2 linked regions of the Diceros bicornis minor genome follow. The protein of the gene in region 1 purifies or fractionates together with the protein of each later gene. This does not show direct contact. Links are inferred from orthologs where the notes say so. Each region holds a gene or a part of one and is shown in the gene's direction. Other genes may lie near its edges.

Evidence for each region.
Region 2: the proteins of BCL10 (region 1) and BIRC3 purify together in Homo sapiens (affinity purification with western blotting; 5 studies listed by BioGRID and IntAct, with this or other methods). This does not show direct contact. The link is inferred for Diceros bicornis minor from reciprocal best matches to the Homo sapiens genes BCL10 and BIRC3.

The regions. Positions count from the first base shown.
Region 1 is NC_080743.1:21,669,756-21,681,245, reverse strand, and holds the start of BCL10 (B-cell lymphoma/leukemia 10), read left to right. Parts: upstream 1-6,256; 5' UTR 6,257-6,513; coding exon 6,514-6,570; intron 6,571-11,490. UniProt on the Homo sapiens protein: Plays a key role in both adaptive and innate immune signaling by bridging CARD domain-containing proteins to immune activation.
Region 2 is NC_080746.1:32,653,430-32,664,454, reverse strand, and holds the start of BIRC3 (baculoviral IAP repeat-containing protein 3), read left to right. Parts: upstream 1-6,849; 5' UTR 6,850-7,571; intron 7,572-7,858; 5' UTR 7,859-7,933; exon of another isoform or gene 7,934-7,968; intron 7,969-8,426; exon of another isoform or gene 8,427-8,537; intron 8,538-11,025. UniProt on the Homo sapiens protein: Multi-functional protein which regulates not only caspases and apoptosis, but also modulates inflammatory signaling and immunity, mitogenic kinase signaling and cell proliferation, as well as cell invasion and metastasis.

The DNA.
Region 1 (11,490 bases):
TGCATAAATAAAATGTGGCATAGGCATACAATGGAATATTATTCAGCCATAAAAAGGAATGAAGTACTGATTCCTGCTACATTTCAGAGCCTTGAAAACATTATGCTAAGTGAAAGAAGCCAGACACAGAAGGTCATATATTATATCAATTCATTTATATTAAATATCCAGAATAGGCCAATCTATAGAGACAGAAAGTAGACTAATGGTTGCCTTAGGGCTGGGAAAGATGGAAAGAATGAGGTGAAGGTTAAAGGGCACAGGTTTCTTTTTGGAGTGATGAAATATTCTAAAATTGATTGTGATGATGGTTGCACAACTCTGTGACTATAATAAAAACCACTGAATTGTATACTTTAAATAGGTGAATTGTATGGTATATGAATTATATCTCAATAACTGTGAGAAAAAGGAAACCTATCAGCTACTCAGGCTTCCAGAGATTTTTTAAAAATTTGTCTGTGGTGGGACTTCAACATCTGCTTCCAAGTGATTTTCATGAGCTGCGCAGACTGAGAACCTCTGATTCTAACCATGACTCATGGGAAAGGACATGACTGATTTTGAAGGAAGCCATGCTGTCTCTCAGTGATCACCCCACCCTGCTGCTCTAAGCATTCATGAGCTACTCCTTTAATATGCCTTCCCGGAATTATGCCTGTGATGGAGCCCAACACGGAGTTTGCAAGCATCACCCTCTTCCTCCTTCTGCAACCTGTATTAGTTAACCACTTCTGGTTTTCAGCCCCCCTCACTGTTGCGCACAATGCCTCAAGGATCTTCAGCAGGAGCAGGCATTCTCATTTACAAGGTTCCTTCTGTGTCCCCTGAGGTACCATCTAACAGAACCACGAACCTCTGAATTCCTGTGAAGCTGTTTTGTTATCATCGTTTCATCCACCAGAGGAGAGTGAGTTTGTGGAAACTCACTATACACTAAGTCCTCTTACTACATTCCTGAGCTTTGGTTTCCGCTTAATTAGGTTGAAGCTACATTTTGGAGTCCTGCTCCATCACTTACATCGCTAGGCCTGGAGCAGGGGTCCATTCCTTGACCTCCTCCGCCTTGGCAGGATGCTCTTATAAGGCTGCAGTTCAGGGTCCATCAAGAGCCTGAGAGCTCCCTTTCCTGAAATCTTGGGATGTTCTCTTTTGCATTTAGGAAGTTGGAAAATCCCATAATAAGTTTCCTGGCTTTGCCATTTCCTACCTCAGGCACAGAGAACAGACCTGAATGCATTCTACCTCTTGCCTTGCCCCAGGGAGTGTCGGAGTAACCCAGCTCCTCTGAATCACTACGTCCTAAAGCAGTTAGCTCAGTCTACAGCTAGTAACTGAGAACACCGGCCTTGTTATCAGACAGAGCTGAGTTGAAATCTTGATTCTGTACTTGGTAGAGGAGTGACCTTGGGCAAATCATATTTTCTAAGCCTCAGATTTCTCATCTGTAAAGTGAGGATGATAAAGCCTACCTGGAAGAACTGATATAGGGATTAAATTGCAACAGTAGACATAAGGTGCTTGGATCAGAGTGAGTATGAAATAAATTGCTAGTGATGATTTCTTCCCAGACAGTAGTACAACTGGAAGATCTAGCAGCTTCCTCAAGATTCTCCTGCTGGTATACGGGATATCGCCTCCCCTCAACTATGTTTGAGGTACCTTGTCCCATAAACATCCAAGCTTTTAATACCAAATTCCTGTCCTCACTCTCCAAGCCAATAGTCTTCTAGGGGGAAGGCAGAGGGAATGGTCCCTTCTCTCAGGTTCCCCCATCAGCCCCAACAATGTCCTACTCTTAGGGTGCACTCGCCAATGTCCTCAGAGCATTTGCTCAGGTCCACGCTCACCACCCTGCACCCTCCTGGTCCTCCCTTCCTAAGCTGGTGGTCACTCCTGGGGACCACACCACCTGGAGTCTTCACAAAGTCTCTGAGCTGAAATGTCTGAATTCCACCACATATTGTCTTGCCATTAAAACCCAGGAGTGTCTGTCTCAGAACTGGCCACTTTTTTCCTCTAACTATTTACAGGAAATTTACCATTCACAATTACTTGGAATAGAATTCATTGCTCAATACAATGCTTGGTATCTGGCAGGAAGTTTTAAATAAATCATTAAACAGCAGTTAAAGCGCCACCTATTAAAATCCCCCAGCCCAGTTTAAATACACCTCTTTCATGTCGGCTTATCAGTCAGAAATGGTTTCCTCTTTCCTCCCTCTGCATTCCTCTAATAGCTATCTTTACTGAATGCTTATTAATTGTTCCCAGGTCATACAGCTAATAACTGGCAAATCTAGACTCCAACTGTACCGAGTTGAATAGTGTCTTCCCAAAATTCACGTCCACTGGAACCTTGCAATGTGACCTTATTTGAAAATAGTGTCTTTACAGAGGTAATCAAGTTAAGATAAGGTCATACTGGATTAGAGCGGGCCCTAAACCCAATAATTAGTGTCCTTATAAGAAGAAGGAAATTTGGAGACAGAGACATGGGAGGAACGCAGAAAAGAAGGCCGGGTGGAGAGGGAGGCAGAGATGGGAGTTATGCTGCGCCAGCCAAGGAATGCCGAGGAGTGCTGGCAGCCACCAGAAGCTAGGAAGAGGCAAGGAAAGATCTTCCCTAGAGCCTTCAGAGAGAGCACGGCCCTGCCAATTTTGGACTTCCAGCCTCCAGAACTGTGAGAATAAATTTCTCTTGTTTTAAGCCACCCAGTTTGTGGTAATTTGTTACGGCAGCCGTGGGAAACTAATACACCAGCCTAGGTCTGTCAGATGCCGAACGTCCTCATTCTTAGCCACTATGATATGCTGCCTTATGTTTGTAGCACCTTAACTGTATCCTTCACAGCATATTTATCAGATGCCTCATATTTCACCGTAGGAGGGAGATGGTGCACCTAGAAGTCGAGGTGGGGACGGAGGTGGGGGGAGGGAGAATTATTGCAAGGTAGAGAATGGGCAGGGCTATTTTCTTGAAAATATGCCCAACCTTCATTACAGTCTGACCCTGTGATTTAGCAGAGAAGGGGAAATGAGTTTGCTTATGAAGGAAGTACGATGCGCTAGAAAGAAAGCAGGATTGGGAACTGCAAGGCCTACCAGGAACTAGCTCTCTGATTAGGTACGTGGCATTCAGATATCGCTACTTTGATACAGATAGTTTGACTTGGAAACATTGAGACATGGCCTTAAAAATGAAATATTAAACTTTCAGCTTTAAAAATTCCTAAGCTCCTCACCAGTCCCACCCAATCCCTGATCCTCATTCCATAACTCCTACTTCTGACACATAGCAGACATTTAACTTTTTAGTTGAATAAATAAATAAGGGAATGAATGTTGAGGATGCAAGAAGGCTGGAGGTATCAGTAATGAAATGATGGTCAACAACAAGGAAATAGTCAGATGTATAGCAAGGGTAATGAAAGAAGGCTCAAGAATCAGAGATGTCTCCCATTAATATTTGGTAATCAAAAGCCATAGCAGAAGCAAATGTGGCAAAGTATCAATATTTGTTAAATCTTGGTAATGAACAGAGGTTGTTTGTAATATTATTTTTTCCTTAGAGTTTAGTGTGTTTGAAATGTTTTGTTTAAAAAAGAACAATAATAGGGGCCGGCCCCGTGGCTTATCGATTAAGTGCACGTTCTCTGCTACTGGCAGCCCGGATTAGGATCCTGGGTGCGCACCAACACATCACGTGTCCAGCCATGCTGAGGCAGCGTCCCACATACAGCAACTAGAAGGATGTGCAACTATGACATACAACTATCTACTGGGGCTTTGGGGAGAAAAAGGGGGAAAAAAAAGGAGGAGGATTGGCAATAGATGTTAGCTCAAGGCTGATCTTCCTCACAAAAAAAAAAAAGAACAACAATAGAACAGCAACCTCATAATGGCTGGATCAAAACGGGTGTGTCAAATTGGCATCATTCAAATCACTTTGCTCTGATGGGTTCTGAATCCCCTCCTTCACCAGCAGAGCTGGTATGGTTATGGCAAAACAGTTCATTCCCACACTCGGATGGACCAACACTTTGGAGACAACCCATGGAAATATACATGAAGAGACAGAAAATCATCATTTCCTTGTGCTCTGTATTCCTGCTTCTGGGAATTTATGCAAAACAAATGATAATTCAAAAGAAAAAAGAATGAGGAATATGTAGAGGAAAAAAATTTTTATAACAATGAAAAATTGGGAATAACTTAAGGTAACTATGGGAGAGTGCTCACCACTGCTCCCACCCCTGTCACAATCATGCCACCCTCACCTTTGCCTGGATCTCTGTGGTAGTCTCCAGCTGCTCTCTGCTTCCGCCCTTACACCTACAGTCTGCTCTCTACTCAGCAGACAGAGTAATCCTTTTAAAAGGAAATGAAATCACTTCCCCACTTCTCTTCAAAATTTTCTCACTACCCTCACTGCTACCAACCCTGGTCTGAGCCACCACCTTTGGGGCTGGATTATGGCATAGCTCCCTAACTGGTCTCCCCTTTTCCATCCTCCTTCCCCTCAAGGCAACAGTGAAAGTACTCCTTTTCAAATCATAAATCGGATCATGTCACTCCTCTCTGCTCAGAACCCTCCAGTGGCTTCCCATCTGACTCAGAGTAAGCCAATATGACTCAGAGCAAAGTCAGAGTAATTTTTACAGTGGCACACAAGGACCTCATCTCCTTCCCAGTCACAATGGATGCTTTTCATTGGCTCTTCTGTCTACTCATATGTTCTTTCTCCCTATGTCCACATGGCTCATTCCCTCATTTCCATCAAGTAGTAACTCAAATCTCCCCTCTTCAGTGAGGTCTTCATTAACCAGCATATTTTAAATTTTACCACTTCATACAGCCTCATCCTACTTCCCTGAATTATATTTCCTTTTAGCATTTATCATCTTCTAACATAACAAATAATTTACACTACATTTTTCAAATATCTATCTGCCCTGTCCCAAACACAAAGACACCAGAATTTAAACTCCAGAAGGAAAGGGATTTTTATCTGTTTTGTTCACAGCTGTTTCCCCTAGAACAGAGTCTGGCATATAGTTGACATTCAATAACTATTTGTGAAATGAAAGAACAAATGATTAAGTAAATTGGGTTGTACCAAAAGGATGGAAGATTAAGCAATCAGAAAAAATGTGGCATATCAAGGTGGAAAAAAATATATGATGCAATGTTAGTGTTAAAAGCAGAATTCCTGTGTTGTGATCAAAACTTCATTGGTGTGGCTTTTGCAACACTGTTCTTTTCTGATTCTCTTGGTTTCCCTTCCCTTAAATGCTGGGGTTCCCAAGTTTGTCTTTGGTCCTCTTGTCATTTTTATCTACCTTGTAGCTTCAAATACCATCTCGGTTATTTTGCATGTTGTCCAAACAACAGTTGGGCCAGGGCTCTGTTCAAGCTTCTCACCCACATTTACTCATGTTGCTTTGCATACACCTCTGTTAGAATACCATTCTGGGAATAATTGTCTGTCCTTCAGTCTCCCCCAACAAAATGGGAGAACTCTTACAGGATAAGATGCCTAGAACATATTCATAAGGACTCCATAAATGTTTGAGTAAGACAAGATAATAAATAATAAATTGATTGCATACTGTGTGCCAAGTACCTCTAAGAACCTTACATATACATATTTAATTCTCACAGCAGCTCTATGAGGTAGATATATCATTACACAGATGAATAAACAAGGAAATATGTATGTTTACAATCAACAGTGACCAAAAAGTATGCAGACGCTAAACTAGGTGTTAAAGCGGTGGGATTGTAGGTGCTTTTTCAAAGTTTCTGTAATGTAGTTAGGCTGTGTATTTGTGGGGGGGGTGTGTGTGTGTGTGTGCGCGCGCGCGCGTGCATGACCAAATAATTTAAAAACTTGTGTGGGCAAACACAGCAACAGGAAATTGGAGGGCAGGGTCTGGGAAAAGAGGAGGAACTCAAAGGTGCAGACAAGCCGAGACCGGACTGCACCAGCGAGCAGTCTGCGAAGGCGGGGAGTGCCGGTGGCGGAGCAGCGACCGGTCCCACCCACGGAAATAATTCCTTTCGGAGACGCCAACCCGCGGCCACATGCAAACGACCTGGAGGCTGTGGGCGGAGCCACTCCCGAAAGACTCTGGCCGGGGGGCGGGGAAAGTCTGGGCCCGCGGGCTCGCCCCGATTCGCTGCCGCAGAGATGGGGCGGGCTCTGCTGGTGGCCCCGCCCCACCGAGGGGCGGTGCCTGCGCCTGAGGCTCTAGCGCGGAGGTGGAGCGCTGCTCAAGCGCCGCGTCGGGACGCGTAGGTCTGCAGCGTCGTCGGCCTAAAGGGCAGAGCCGGAAGCGCCACGGTTTGACCCACGGATCCCCTCTGTCTTCGAAGGGGCAGCCCTCTTCCTCTGGGCTTTCTCCACCTCCCCGTCTCCCCGCTCATCCGGAGGCCGAAGCCCCCAGCCTGGGCGGGGCGGCGCAGCCCGAGCTCCGCGACCCGGAAGAAGCGCCATCTGCCGCCTCCGCCATGGAGCCCACCGCGCCGTCCCTCACCGAGGAGGACCTCACTGAAGTGAAGAAGGACGTGAGTAGCACAACCTTGCCCAGGCGCCGCGGCGGGCGGGCGCGGGGGGGTGGGCTGCAGCCCCGCGGACCAGGAGAGCGGAAACCCGGAGTCCGAGTCCGAGACGGACGAGGAGCCTGCGGGTCGGAGGAGCGGAAGGTCCAGGCGTCGCGGGACCGCAGCGAGCCCTGCATACGAGGGACCTTGGTGGAAGTGATCCCCCGGTGACCTGTTAATCGACGTTTTAAATCACTCCATGCAGGGCCAGGGTTTCTGAAACCTCGCTCAGTGGAGCGCTTCTTCGCAGCCAGCTCCTCGCCCACTCCTCGCCCGTGCCCTGGTGATTTTCCCCCGCTGCGCCTTGGAGCTGCGTTGTTAGGGATCGACGGCTCGGGTTCATCCTTGAGTCTGATTTCCTTTGCTGCTGGCTCAACCTGGAGCAAAAGCCGGACCAATAAAAAGATCCTAAGCAGTGGAGGAAATATGTGAAACTTTTTGCAAAGGGGGTTGGGGGAAGCTCAACAGCTGAAAGCACAACCTGGAATTCCCCTAGTAAGCAAACGCCCACATATTTAAATTGAGGGGGGGGCATGAATACAAGTAGCCGAGAGTTAATTTAGAAGTAAGCGTTGAAAATATTCAGAAGCTAAATTATGGTCTTCTGCTTAGATACTGCAGAAATGCACAAATCTTAGTATTCTTAAAGAATGGCTTTGTTGCAGTATGACTTGTTTCTCTTTTTCCTTTGCTTTTAGTTACTTGTTTTGCCATATAAGACCTATATGAGTACCACTAAACTACTTCATATTAATTGAAATTAAAAGTAGAAATTCAACAAGAAGTGTGTTCTGGCTTAACACTGTGGTACTTTTACAAAATCACCTTTGTGAACTGGACGAGACAACTGCTTTTTAAATGTTCATTTACTTCAAGTCTCTCCCATTTCCCTCCCCTGTAAGATTTATTACACTGTACTCATCATTACAGTTGGTATGACTCATTAGCAGAAGGAAACTAGATATGACTGGGACCTGTGCCTTAGTTTCCTCATTCAGCAGATATTTATGGAGCACTTACCATATGGAAAGTACTGTTCTTGGGCCTGGAAAGATACAAAAAATGACCATCAAGCCTCTGCTTTACATTCTAGTTGAGATAAGACTGGGACATTGATAACAACTATAGAATAAATGAGTGTTGTCTTATTCAAGATTTGTGCCAGTAAAACCATGAACTTCGAGAGCTAGGCCTGCTATGTTCCAGATGCTGTGTCACACAATTTACAATGTTCCCATTTAAACTTTACAGCAGCCTCTAATAATTGTCATTCCCATTTTACAGCTGGTAAAACAGGCAGTGAAAGGTTACAAGTGGGAGGATATACCAACAGAGATGTGAACAGTGGCTTCCAGGCCTTTATTTTTTTCTATCAGTTCATTGATATTATCCATCTCCATGACTTCAATTTATACAGCTCTATCAGAAATTCATAACCTTGGGGAATCATGGATGGTTTATGACCTTAGAAGATTTTAAATTTAATATCTACGTATTTGGACTTCCTTCTCTCTCAACTCTAGGCACTTATTTCCAAATATCTACTGGAAATCCACTTTTATATTCTTGAGAGCCCTCACTTGGTCTAAAATTAAACTTTTTATCATCCCTCCCCCAAGGCTCTTGCAGTTGCTGCTGTATTCTCTGTCTTAATGAATAGTATACCACCACATGTCCTGGAAACTCCCACTTCTTCACCGTACTCCTCCTCCTCACCTGCCCCATCTAGTTGTTTATTTACATCATTATTTTGATTGAATTTAGTTCAGTTTCATAAATATGAATTACATGCTGCTGTGAGGCTGATACTGTAGTTGATTTTAATAGTTCAAAAATTAAAAACTAAGAGAGAATCCTAGTTTGAGAAGAGCTCAATTTCCTGCGGGGGCGTGGCGCAGGAAGAGAGAAGTAAAATGGTAATTACAAATCACAAAATAAGTGCAATCAATTTTACATCCATCTGAAACACTGTCTAGTTGACACTCTGCTAAGTGCGAGGTATACAGAACAAAACATACCTGATTCTTGCCTGCTTCAAATATAGATCATTAGGGTTGAAAACAAATAAATGTATAATTACAAGTTATAGAAAGTACTATGAAGGAGACAAACAAGTATTGAGAGAATAATAGAGGAAATCTACTTGAGATAGGATGGTCAGGGAAGCTTACGTTTAAACTGGTTCCTGAAGAATGTGACGGAACTGGAGAAAGAGCATTCTGGGCAGAATAGAATTTGCAAAGGACCTGAAACAGGTAAAGCCTTGATGACTTGGGGAAATTGGAAAAAGGCATAGGGTGCCCTGAGGTGAAGTTAGGAAGATGGACTAGAGCCGGGTCATGAAGGGTCTTACAGATGGTGGTAAAGTGCTCGTTTTTTTTCCTCAAGTGTAGTGGGGACCTATTGAAGATTGATGTTACATTTTTTTAAAGATCCCTCTGTCTGTTGTATGGACTGAGGAGAGCAAAAGTGAGAAGAGGGAAGCCAGTGAGGAGACTCTTGGAATTGATGTAATTGAGAGATGATGGTGATTTAGATTAGGGTGAGGGCGGTGGAAATAGTTGGAACGGGAGAACCCCAGATGCATTTTTGAAATAGAAATGATAGGACTTGGTGATGGATTGAGTATGGGAGTTGAGGAAGAGAGTGGAATCAGATTAGTAAGTGGAAATGTCAAATCAACAATTAGACCTACAAGTCTGAAGATCAGAAGAGAAATCTGAGCTAGAAACATAATTGTGAGATTGAATGAGTTCACCTAGGAAGTTGAGAGCTAGAAGGGAAAAGGGCGACTGTAGAAGAGTTTTTAAAAGTGAGAAGTTATAGCCACAGACATGAGAAGAAAGCCAGGAGAGTGTGGTTGATATTCATATAAGACAAGAAAAGATTATTTCAAGGAAGGAGTGGTCGCTTGTGTCCATGCTACTGAGAAGATGGAGACTGAAAAGTATCAGATTTGGCAATAAGGGGGTCATTGGTAACTTTGAGAAGAATAGTGGGACAGAATGGAAATGTCTAGGAAGTTGAGTCCTGGTATATAGAAAAGTGAAATGTATACACAGGGGCGCTGTAAAGACAGAGGAGAGGGGTACTAACTCATTTTGGGGAGTTTAGGTAAAGCTACCTGAAGGAGGTGACCACTGTCCTGAATTTTAAAGGATGAATAGGGACTTGCGGTATGAGAAAAGAAAACAGTACAGAGGTAACATAAAGAAATGTAGTGACAAACAGCAGTTTTAAGTAGAACGTAACGTTCCGGGACAGATAGAAGTGATAGATTAAACTGGAGAGGCAGGCAGGATCCATATTATGAAGCACTCTGCCATTATCAAATAGCTATTTTTTTCTTTTTGTTTATTTTTTATTTATTTTTTGTGTGTGTGAGGAAGATCAGCCCTGAGCTAACATCCATGCCAATCCTCCTCTTTTTGCTGAGGGAGATTGGCCCTGGGCTAACATCCGTGCCCATCTTCCTCCACTTTATATGGGACACCGCCACAGTGTGGCTTGACAAGCGGTGCATCAGTGCGTGCCCGGGATCCGAACCCCAGGCTGCCGCAGCAGAGCATGTGCACTTAACCGCTATGCCACCGGGCCAGCCCCTCAAATAGCTATTCATTGAGCACCTACTGTGTATCAGAGATTATGTCACATTCATATACCGTGTTCCATTTAGTCTTCTAGATGTCCTGCGAGGTAAGTATTGATCATTATTTTATCCATAAGGAACCTTGAAGATCAGAGAGGTTAAATAACTTGCCCCAGCTCTCACAGGAGTATGTGGCAGATTCAAGATGGAGGATTTGAAGATTTGAGGTTGGTCTGAGTTCAGAGCCGTGCTCTTAACTTCTCTACTATTCTGCCATGGTTGAGGAACTCTATCCTTTAAGTCAGGGTAGAACACAGTGTTTAAAATTTTTTTTTTAATTAACTAGCAGCGTTTCAATATTAGTAGAATTTATATAACCCTCCAGATTTCCATTTTCTCTTGAAAAATTGAAAGATCTGATAGATGTGTGAAGGAGAAATTGGAGAGGAGAGAAGGAGGAAGTATAGCTAGGTGTCTATTGTTAATAGTCTGTGCAAGATGTGATAGGGACCTGAACTAGGGCAATGCTAATAATAGAGATGAAGTGAAGGGGCAGATTAGATAAATATAAGGGGTAGACAGGGAGAACTTGGTGGGTGGATGATTGGATGTGGCAAATGAGTGAAAGCAGAAAAGTCAGGGATGAGTTGCAGGATTATAGCATGGTTGGATGGATGGTGGTACTCCCAAATGAGTTGAGAATATGAGAGGAAAAGGATAGGGGAAGATAACATGGGTGGACCTAGAGGGTATTATGCTAAGTGAAATAAGTCAGATAGAGAAAGACAAATACTGTCTGATTTCGCCTATGTGTGGAATCTAAAAAACAAACAAAACAAAATAGCAACAGGGTCAGAGATACAGAGAAGAAAGGGGTGGTTGCCAGAGGGGAGGGAGGTGGAGAGTTGGGTGAAATAGGCATGGGAGATTAAGAGGTACAAACTTCCAGTCCTAAAATAAATGTCTTGGGAATGTAATGTACAGCATAGGGAATATAGCCAATAATATTGTAATAACTTTGTATGATGACAGATGGTTACTAGGCTTATTGTGGTAATCATTTTGCCATACATATAAATGTCAAATTGCTGTGTTGTACACCTGAAACTAACATGATATGTCAACTATATTTTAATTTTTTTTAAAAAAAGATAAATTTGGATTTGGACGTGTTGAATTTGAAGTACCTTTGGGATGTCTAGGTGGAGAAAGTCTTGATCGCATGTCCAAATTTGGGAATCATCAGCATGTAGGTGGTAGAAATGACAACAGATGAGGTTTTTCAAGGAGTTCAT
Region 2 (11,025 bases), on another chromosome or scaffold:
ACCAAGGGTAAGTCTCTAGAGTAGGTCACAGGTGTCAGCTGTTAGCAGCTCTGAAGCGTCTGGGATTTGGGTACACAGGGAGGTAAGGATCTGGGCTGAGCACCAACAGTGTCTGCTGCAGTCAATCAGCTAGGAAGGGGAGAGTGGGGTTCAAAGCCAGATCCAGTGGCTCCAGAGTTGCACTGCTGCCACTATAGGGCCTGCTGCAAACTTGCCTAATACTGCCATCAAATACCTCGCGCACTGTCCACCAGGAAGCCCTGGACTTGCCAAGCCAAGCCCCTTCTGCTTTTCTAGAGGGATTAGAGCTTTTTTTTTTTTTTTGAGAAAATTTTATGTCCATTTAATTCAGAGGTTGCAAGACTAATTCAACAAGAACTCTCTTGTTTCTGTCACTCCCAATTCAGAAAGGCCTATTTAATGCACAATTTGCACTTGCCCAGGGCCAAGACTAGGGTTCACAACCCTGAGAGTTGAGCACCTCCTTAAATTTTGTGCCCTATGTGCCTCTCTTGCCTTGCCCAGTGCCATTGAGAGAGGGGTTGTGATCCTACACCCTCTCCTCAGACAACAGCGAGTCTGCTTGGCTCTAAGAATCCTGGTATTTCCCTATGTTCCTCTTCCTATACCTTATCAGTGGGGAAAATGATAGAATGAAGGAGGTAGGCGTCTGGAATTGATCACCTCGTTTTTTAAAACTTCTGGGTCTTAGAAATGTATTCAAGCCTACACAGGCATGGAGTCAGCAGTGGAAGGCTAGAAAGCCTTGAGAATGGGAAAACAAGTCAACACTAGAGTCCTCCTAAACACAACAGCTAGTTAGATATTCTCTCTCCTGCAACCTCTTCTAGTCTTCTTAGCCCAGTTCTTTTGCTCAAAACAAGCTTCCCCAGGTCTGAGAGTGATGTTTCCTAGCCAGCACAGGAGACTGTCAGCTCCAACATTTTCACCCTCAAAGAAATCATGTGGTTTGGCTCCTATAAAAATTGGTCAGGTCCGAGGGCAGACACCTAGTGTTCTTTAGCCTTCAGTCACGAACTGGCCTGCTTGATCTCCCCATGCACCAAACCCCAAATGCTGTGAAAGCTGCTAACTGCTTACACCTGTGACCTACTTCAGCTAATTATTCTTGGCTGATGTGAATATTGGGCCACTACCACAGCTCCCATGGCTCTGAAATTTTGCTACTAATACTTACTTCAGCTAGCCCTTGTGGTCTAGTGATTAAGATTCGGTGCTCTCACTGCTGTGGCCCAGGTTTGCTTCCTGGTCAGGGGACCACACCACCGTCTGTCAGTTGTCATACTGTGGTGGCTGCGTGTTGCTGGGATGCTGAAAGCTATGCCACCGGTATTTCAAATAGCAGCAGAATCACCCAGGGTGGACAGGTTTCAGCAGAGTCTTCCAGACTGAGACAGACAAGAAAGAAGGACCTGGCCATCCATTTCCAAAAAAATTGACCATGAAAACCCTATGAATAGCAATAGCAGCAGAGCATTGTCTGATATAGCACAGGAAGATGAGAGAGGATGGCACAAAAAGACTGGGCAGGGTTCCACTCTGCTGTACACAGGGTCTCTAGGAGTCAGAATTGACTTGACAGCACTAACAACAACCACAGAAATACGTCATGGGATCAAACATAATAAGTATATTTTATCATGTTTTTTTCTTCACTAAACAGTAACGGTGTTTAATATAAGTTGTTGACTTTTAATTAGTTCTTATCTTCTCCACCAAATCTGAATATTTTGTCCTAGTGATGTTCTGTGTTCTCTTGGTACCTCAATTATCCTATTTCCATTTTTCCCCCTTATTGCTCTCTTTTTCCACCCTTAACACAAAAATCCTAACCAAAATACTAGAAAATTAAATCTAGAAATATGTAATAAAGATATTACATCATGAAAAAGTGAAGTTTATCTTAGAAAGACAAAGTTGGTTTAATACTCATAAATTAATCAATGTAATTCTTCATATTAGCAGAATAAAGAAGAAAAGCTATCTGATCATCTCTATAGATAGAGCTCCCGTTTATGATTTTAAAAAACTCTTGGTATACTAAGAGTAGAAAGAAACTTTCTCAATCTGATAAAGAATATCTATGAGAAATCTATAGTTAACAGCACTTTTTCCCTAAGGTCAGGAGTAAAGCAAGAATGTTGACTCTAGCCAAGTCTATTCATCATTGTAGTAGAGGTCCTGAGTTGTACAATAAAGCAAGAAAAAAAAGGAATAAAAATAGGAAATGAGGAAATATAATTGCTTTTATCTATAGATGACCTGATAGCTTGCTAAAGAAAATCCAGAAGAATCTAAGAAATGACTACAAGTGAATTTAGCAACGTAGTAGGATAAAACACTACTACACTTACACTAAAATAAATTTTATTTCTACATACTAACAACAAATAACTGAACGTGCAATTTAAAAATACTATTAACAATTGAAAATCTAAATTAAAAAATAGTATTTAAAATAGCATCAAAAATATGAAATAGGAATAAACTTAACAAAAGGATGAGAAACATCTTTGTACTGAAAACAAAGAAGACAAATAGATGGAGGAATATACCATGCTCACGGATTAGAAGACTCAATAACATTAAAATGTTAATACTTTTCAAATTGATCTATAGACTAAATGTAATGCTAATCAAATTCCCAGCAACTTTTAACAAGATATTCAGAAGACAATTCTAAAAGTTATATGAAAATTTAAAAAACTTAGAATAGCCAAAACAGTTTCAAAGAACAAAGATAGAGGACTTACGCTATCTGATATCAATGCTTACTGTAAAGATACAGTGATAAACACAGTATGGTACTGGCATAAGGATAGACAAATAGATTAATAGAACAGAATAGAGAGTCCAGAAAGAAACTGCCGTGTATAAGTTCAATTGATTTTTGACAAAGACACTAAAGCACTTAAGTGGGGAGGGGATTCTTTTCAATAAATTGTGTTGGAATAATATTTAGAGAAAAAAATGAACCTTGGTCCTCAACTCACATCATATGCAAACATTAATTTGAGATGAATCATAGTCCTAAGTGTAAAAGCTAGTATCACAAAACTTCTAAAAGAAAACATAGAAGAAAATCTTTATGATCTTGGGGTAGGTAAAGATTTCTTAAATGGGATATAAAATGCACTATACATAAAAGAAAAAAATTGTTACATTAGACTTCATCAGAATTAAAATATTCTATTCATTAAAAGAAACTGTTAATAAAGACAAAAAGCAGGCCACCAATTTGGAGAAAGTATTCACAATGCACATAACAAAGGACTCATATCCAGAATATGTAAAGAACGCCCTTAAATCAATAATAAAATGTCAATTGATTCAATTTAAAAATGGACAGAAGATTTGAAAAGGTCCTTCACAAAAGATGATATCTAAATAATTAAAAAGCATATGAAAATATATTCAACATGATTAATCACCAGGGAAATAAAAATTAAAAGCATAATGAGCTAGCACTACACATTCAAAAGAAGAGGTCAAATTCAAATAGTTGACAATACTAAGTCTTAGGAAGGATGTTCAGCAACTAGAATTCTTATATATTGCCGGTGGGAGTGTAAAATGGTGCGAATACTTTGTAAAAGTTTTTGGCAGTTTCTAATAAAAATAAACATACACCTACCCAATGGCAATTCCATGTCCAGGTGTTTACGCAATAGAAATGAACCCATAGATTCACAAAAAGGCTTGAACTGAAATGTTCATAGCTTCACTATTCACAAGGGACCAAACCAGGAAACAACCCAAATGTCCATCAGCAGGAGAACAGATAAACTATGGTATATTCATCCAGTGGAATACCACTTGGCAATAAAAAGAACGAACTACTCATACATGCTACAATGTGGATAAAACTAAAACTATATTGAGTGAAAGAGCCCCTTATGGGTACACATCGTGTGATTCATTTATATGAAGTTCAAGAACCAAATCTATGGGGATAGAAATCAGAATAGTGGTTGAGGCTGGAGGATGGGGGATATAGGTAGATACTGACAGGAAAAAGGCGTGAAGAAATTTCCTGGTGTGATGGAAAATGTTCTTGATCTTGCTCTGGTTGATGGTCACCCAAGTATATACATTTGTTAAAATTCATGAGCTGTACACTTAAGATATTTGCAGTTTAGACTGTGTAAATTATATGTCATTAAAGTACTGTCAAACAAAGAAATCAAAAGTAACCAACCATTTATAAGGGCAAACTTCACCACATTGAGAACATTGAGTCCATCTGTACTAAAAGATATTTTTTTGTAAATTCATCAGCACTTGTTCAAGGCTGATCTAATCATATTTTATCTGTAAGATATGCAGTTGTCAACAGACTAGGAAATTCCTAGCATTGACAATGATTCTTACATTTATTTTGGGATCAGAACAGCATGGTTCTTTTGTTAGATTTCACTTTTACTTTCAGTCCTAGATTCCTAGATAATGTATTTCTGTAATTAAAAATGTAAAAACTTACAGTGAAATAGCATCAGGCTGGAACTGAAGTTGTTACAGCATTATTATTATGTGAAATTCCTTCCAGAGAAAGAATATTTTTTATCATGATTACCTTCAAGTTAAAAAATACTTTAAAGTTGATTGTTTAATAATAGGATATTGAGAACACACCACTGTTAAGAGTTCTCAAAGTTCCAAACCAGGAGTGGGATGAAAAAGCATCTCACACACTTCTCACACCCTGCTTACACATTAACAGAGAGAAAAACTGGCAAACTAGAGATAGTGATGGCCATGTGTCTGTCTACCTTGTCACTTTCTCAAACATTTCTTTTACTTCTGCCTGTAAAAGAGTATTTGGAGAGAAAATATATTTAGATAAGCTGGATGCTGGGAGCAAAAGGGGAGTTTTTATATAAAATATTTGGGATATTCAAAGGATCAGAGGGAAAATGTAAAGTATATTACACTATCAAAAATTTGGGTGCAGATTTAGAATAGAAAAGGCCGAAGTGGATAGATTGACTCCATTTTTGTCAGTCATCTACAAAGATTTATTAAGCGCCTACATTTGCAGGTACCCTGCTAGTACTAGAATAATGCAGTGAACAAAATATATACAGTCCTTGCTCATATGCAACTTAGAATTGTTACAGGAAAAAAATTACTTAAAAAAAATCAATAATTGTGTTACAGAATGTTGCAAAGGAGACATATTGATCCACTCCAGGCCCTCATAGGTCTGATCCCAACTCTCTTTACTAGTTTGAAGAACTTGGGAGTTCTAGTCAGTTCAGGATTTCCTAGGCCATGGTCTTTAAATTGGGATGTGTTCCTTTGAGTGAACTTACCAAGTCTTTACAAAGATTTAGTAATGGGCAAGTGGGAACGCAAATAGTTTTAAGGGAATTAACCACCTGATCCTCGATTTCTACATATAGTTGCTCCTAAAACTGATCTGCCTAAAAACAAGAGCTGTTGTGGTTGCTAGGCCTGTTCTGTCTTCTCACCAACCTCTTCACAGTTGTTCTCTCTTCTTAAAAAAGACAGGCTCACCTCTCACCCATCTTGTGTTTTAAAATGGTGTATTGCCCCTGGGTGTAAAATCTTCCTGGACAATTAGAAGTAATTGGCGTTAGTGTTGAGAAAATGAATGACTCTAATATCTGGATATAGAGTTGCCATATAAAATATAGGACATCCAGTTAAATTTGAATTGCGGATAATCAATGAATAATGTATTCAGTGAATACTCTATTGAGAGGGACATACTTATACTAAAAAATTACCTGTTGTTTATCTTAAATTTAAATTTAACTAGGTGTCCTGTATTTTAATTTGCTAATTCTGGCAACCTTATCTGGGTAACAAAAGTCCTGTGGTTTCCAAGTCACTGATTTCAACAAATTGAGTTGTCTACTGATAACTAATTAAATTTTTGGATTAAAGATCAGTAAATGAGTTTTTGGACTATAAAACAGAAGTTCAAAAAATTGTGAAAAAATTGATATAATAACATTTCTTCTGGGCCTATCTACTTATTTATGTGAAAAAGGTTTTTCAGTGCTTATAATTTTAAGAAACGAAAAAAAGGAACAGAATCTATGCTGAACCCTACCATATTCCAGTAATAGGTAATATTCATGAACACATACTTGAAAAAACTGTTCAAATATAAGGTGCAACTCCCATTAAGATTGCATTTGTAATAGAATTTTACTTTTTATCTTTAGTAGTTATCAACATTTATAACATATTTATATTGTTTTGGCCAATCATGTAATAAGTAATGAAAGTAGTATCAATGATAATTCAATCAAGGAAAAATTTTTCTTTAACATTTAGAGTCTTATGATCACAGGAAAAAAATTAAATTTCAATTTATACACATATTTGTTTCAGAAATATGTGCCAGAGTGATCATAAAGATGTCCATTTTAAACATATATTAAAATTCTGTGGGGGAAGTAGAATATTCAAGGACAAACGGCAATGATATAATATTTCCAATTATTAAAGATGAGCTGATGTATGAATTGTTTAATGGATGATCATGGGTATCAGATGGCTATGGTATTTGTAGTTCATTGAAATAATTTAAAACAGTGCAAGATCAATTTTAATCTAAAATATCTATGTCTACATTTTGTAGTTCCTTTGCAACCACAGCGTTTGTGTTTTAATGTTAAGGTAAAAAGTGCAGAGAAGTCGAATTTTTCAAAATTCTTTTGGTAGGTACCTGATCAAAAGTGTATAAGGACCACAAAGTGGTTTCCATCATCTCAAAGGTGAGTGGGAAATGGTTTATAAAATTTTGAACTAGCAGGTTCAAAATTGGATTGAAATCTCCACATGATAGATAATCTTCTTGATATAATTCCAGCTGGAACTCTAACTGCTGTGAGCAGCCAAATCCACCTAGAAGATACCCCAGCTCATCCTGACTGTACTGAATAGAACGGGCGTCCTTCCTTTTTCCACAGGATGAGGAATTCGTGAATAATATTATGGGTTCTGCCTTTGGTTCCCGATCACCTTTGATATACTGGAAGACAGGAAAATCACCTGAGCTGTCTCAATCCGTTACCCTGGCGTGCACTGTCCTGAAATAAAGCTGCTCAAATTCATCGCTTACAGAATGTTGAGGAAAACATGGCAGTGCAGTGAGACTCAGACTTCAGGTTTCCATGAGAATATCACCATAACTTAGAGATCCCTCCTGTGAGATAAAAGGCTAAAAGGAGGAATTGTTTTTACAGCCAGCTCTACCTTAGTTATAAAAAGCGCACCGCCCCCCCCCAACTTTCAATATAGGAAGCTAATAAGGTAATCTCAATCTTTAAAACAGTAAAAATAAACTGAAAAGGAAAATGTGTGATTTTTTTACATACCCCTACATTTCCATTCCTGCCTTACTTTCTTGTTTAGAACAGAAAGTAAAAATTATCAGAGAGATGTCACAAAGTTTTGGTCTTGTCTTTTCTTTTTATCACATGGGAGATGGATCTTTTCCGGTCAGGCAGACCAGTGATCATCGTCTCTACACGGCTTATCAAGATTTCCTCTGACCCACGAACAATGAAGCAAAGGTCTTTCAGTAAATGCCACGAGGATACGCCACGGTTAAGAAATAGTCACTCTTTTAGGGTCATGGAAATCCCCGAGTGGGTTTGCCAGGCCATTGATTAAGGGGAAGTGTATGTGGTTATTACCGCTGGAGTTCCCCTAAGTCCTAAGAGGAAAGCACCAGCGCACATGCAAACCACTGGGAGGAGTACAGGACTCCGGGTGTATGGAGGTGGGGGTGGGGAGGTGGGTGGGTCGAGCTGGGTGAGACATTCAAAAGGCAGCGTGACATTCTAGCCCTCCCGAACAGGCGGGGTGACGGGTGTCACCCGAGAAGACTCGGCCAGGACGTCCTTGCTGGCGCGCATCGGCCTCGGGGCAGCAGGTTGGTGACGAGGGCTGCTGCGAGGCTGTGAGCGAGTAAGTGTGCGTGTGAGTGTGTCGCGTGTGTCTGTGTGCGTGAAGCGCTCCCCGCCTCCCGCGCGGGTAGGGGACGCGTCCGCTGCTCCTTGTGGAGGGGCGGGCGGGGCCCGCGGCGGAGGACCGTCAGCGGGGTGGCACCGTATCCAAACGCCGCTCCGGGGCCCCGAGGTCGGCCCCAGATTGGCTCTCGAGCCGATCAGGGACAGGCAAAAGAATGGGTCCCCCGCGAGCCCGGGGGCCTCTCCCCTCCCGGCGCTCTTCCGGCCGGTCCCCGCCACCGCCGCCGCCGAGACTTTGCTCTCCCGCCGCCGGGAGGCGCTGGGCGCAGGGCAGGGGCCCGGGGCGAGGGAGGGTGCCCCCCGCCCCGCGCTGCCCTCACCTTCCGTCCGCCTTCCTGCCGGTGTTCAGTTTCCATTTTACTTTTAAAAGAAACTGGAATAGGAGATGGGAAAGTGGAATGGGAGAGCTTTGACAATTGGTTTAATTCGATTGCCAAGAGGTATCACCTGGTCTTTGAGGGTGCCAAATAAGCTACAGGACAGAGCCTGAAGCAGAGCTTAGGCATGGTAAGGACTCAGTAAAATCTTTATTTAGTGAACAAATGAAGGAATGTTTGTTTCCAAGAGGTGGCAGAAAGCAGATTGTTGGTTGTTTCTCTGGTGATCAGCATGGAAACCCTGTAGTGCTCTTAATCTAGTTAGCAAAGTGCTAGAGGCATTTGCCCGATGCTAGAGTAACTAACAATAATGTTAAATTTGTTTGCTATTATTTATTGCTAACAGTAGGTGTTGCTAATACCTACCAGTATGCTAGGACCCCTGTCGAACACTTTACATGTGTTTTTCAGGTTTAATTCTCACCGTCTTAAGCAGTTACCATAATTATCTCCATTGACAGTGAGGAAACTCAGGCTTAGGGAGAGTTACTTGCCCAAGCAAGGCCACACCCCTGGTATGGGAAGACTGAATAGTATTGGAAACCCAAGGTGTCTGACTCCATTAAGCCGTCAGTGAGCAGACTTTGTAGTTAACATGAAATTGAGGTCCTTAATACCATGCAAATGAGAGTGTTATGGTCATGGAGGGGCTCAGTCAAGTTTGCCAACGTTCACTTCTTCAACCAAAAGTCTTAGTGTCTGTATTATATGGCAGGCTGGATGGATGTTGGGGGTGGGAGGGCTGGAACAGAGCTGAAACATAGTTCTGCTCTGAAGGAGCTCACAGTCTAGGGGGAGGAAGAAAGAAAAGGCACACTTACCCCCCAGTCTCAGAGACATGGATATGCTAAGTGCCCAAGAAGGTAGAGACACACAACAACCCTGGGATAAGGGAGGTTGCCCAACGGAAATGAAAGTGTAAGAGGAGAAGAGGTTGGGGACTTGAGCCAATCTGAGAGGGAACCACTAAAAAGGAAAGAGGAATTCCAAGAGGGTGGTATCACAGAAGCCAAGCCAGTAGAACATTTCTAAGAGGAAATGGGCCCCAGTGTCAGATGCAAAAATTTCCATTGGTTTTGGGAAAGAAGAGATTGTTGTTATTAATATCGAGAGTAGTTTTAAGTGGTGCTGGCTAAAGCTAATTGTAGTGGGAGACCTTAACCATAGACACTTGTTAGTTCTCTTGGCTGTGAAGAGAAAGTGAGACACAGGGTAGTTGCTCCAGTGGAAAGTGGGGCCAAAGAGGATTTTTTTGTTTGTTTTCATTTGAAAGCTGAGACAGACTTAAGCATGCTCATTATATTGGAGGAAAAGAGCCAGTAGAGAGCAAGAGTTGAAGAAGTGAGGGGGATGGGCTTAAGAACAAAATTTCAGAGGCGATGAGAGAGGATGGGATCCTGCAAAGGGGCAGGTGTCTTTAACTGAGGCAGCAAGTAGGTTGTGAGTGAAATAAGCATGGATTTGAGAATGTGAAAGGATTACTGCTCAGTGATGTCTCTTTTCTTTGAGAAATAGAAGGCCAAGCAATCTACTGAAAGCGAGATGGGGAGTAGTGGAGGAGAAATTTGAGGAAAGGATTGAAGGTTTAGAAGAGTTGCATAGGGCAGTGGGCTAGGGATAAGGAAAATTGCTAAGGGATGGCGAAGGGCCAGCCAAGGAAGAGTCTGAAGTCTTGCTGGTCCCAGTCTGCAAGGTGGCAGATCTTCCCCAGCAGCATTTAGAAGTCTAGGTGTTGGAAATGGTTAAGACAGAGTTTGAATTGATCCAGGGTTGGCATCTTGGCATATGTTTATATGTTTATTGTATAACTGTTGCCTAAATTTCCACAAACGTGCCTTGTGTCCACACCAGAGCTTCTTTAATGTAGGATCTGTGTAAGGGGTTTGTAATCTCAAATGCATAGAGGCCAGACAGGTGATATAAATGAACAAAACTGTGGGTGTCTCATTTAAACAAAAACACACTTTGTTTACATATTTAACATGTAGGAATATTCTTCCCTCCATAAAGAAATATAGTGCTCTTATATTTCTTAAAACATGTGTTGCTCTTTGCCTACCTTTCATTTTTGTTACTTTTGATAGACACAGGTATTAGAACAATTTCACTTTCTTTGTAATTCCACTATATGAAAAACAATAGTGCCAGCTTAGTGATAAATAGCAACTGACAGCCAGTCTCTGTTCAGGATGCCAGACTGGAGAGCACGTGCCTTCTCTAAAGGGTACAGCCCCTGTTCAGCACTAGTTGATTGTTGTCGTGCAGGAATATAAGCCCAGTGTTGCCTGATCTTCTGATTTTACATGAGAAGCTTGGAATCTAGAATGTTATGGGAAATCTCTTATTTTTAAAAATGTTGGTAGTTAATTAAAACATTTAAAAATAATTGTGGTCCAAGAAAGAACTTATTTGGAAAACTGGTGAAGTTCAAATAAGGCATGTAGATTAATTCACAGCATTGTATCAATGATAATTTCCTGGTTTCTGTAATTGTACTATGTTTGTGTAAGATGTTAACTTTGGGGAAGTTGAGGGCAGGGTATTTGGGAACTCTGTTATTTTTGTACATTTTCTCTATGTATAAATTAATTTCACAATAAAAAGTTAAAAAAATTTGT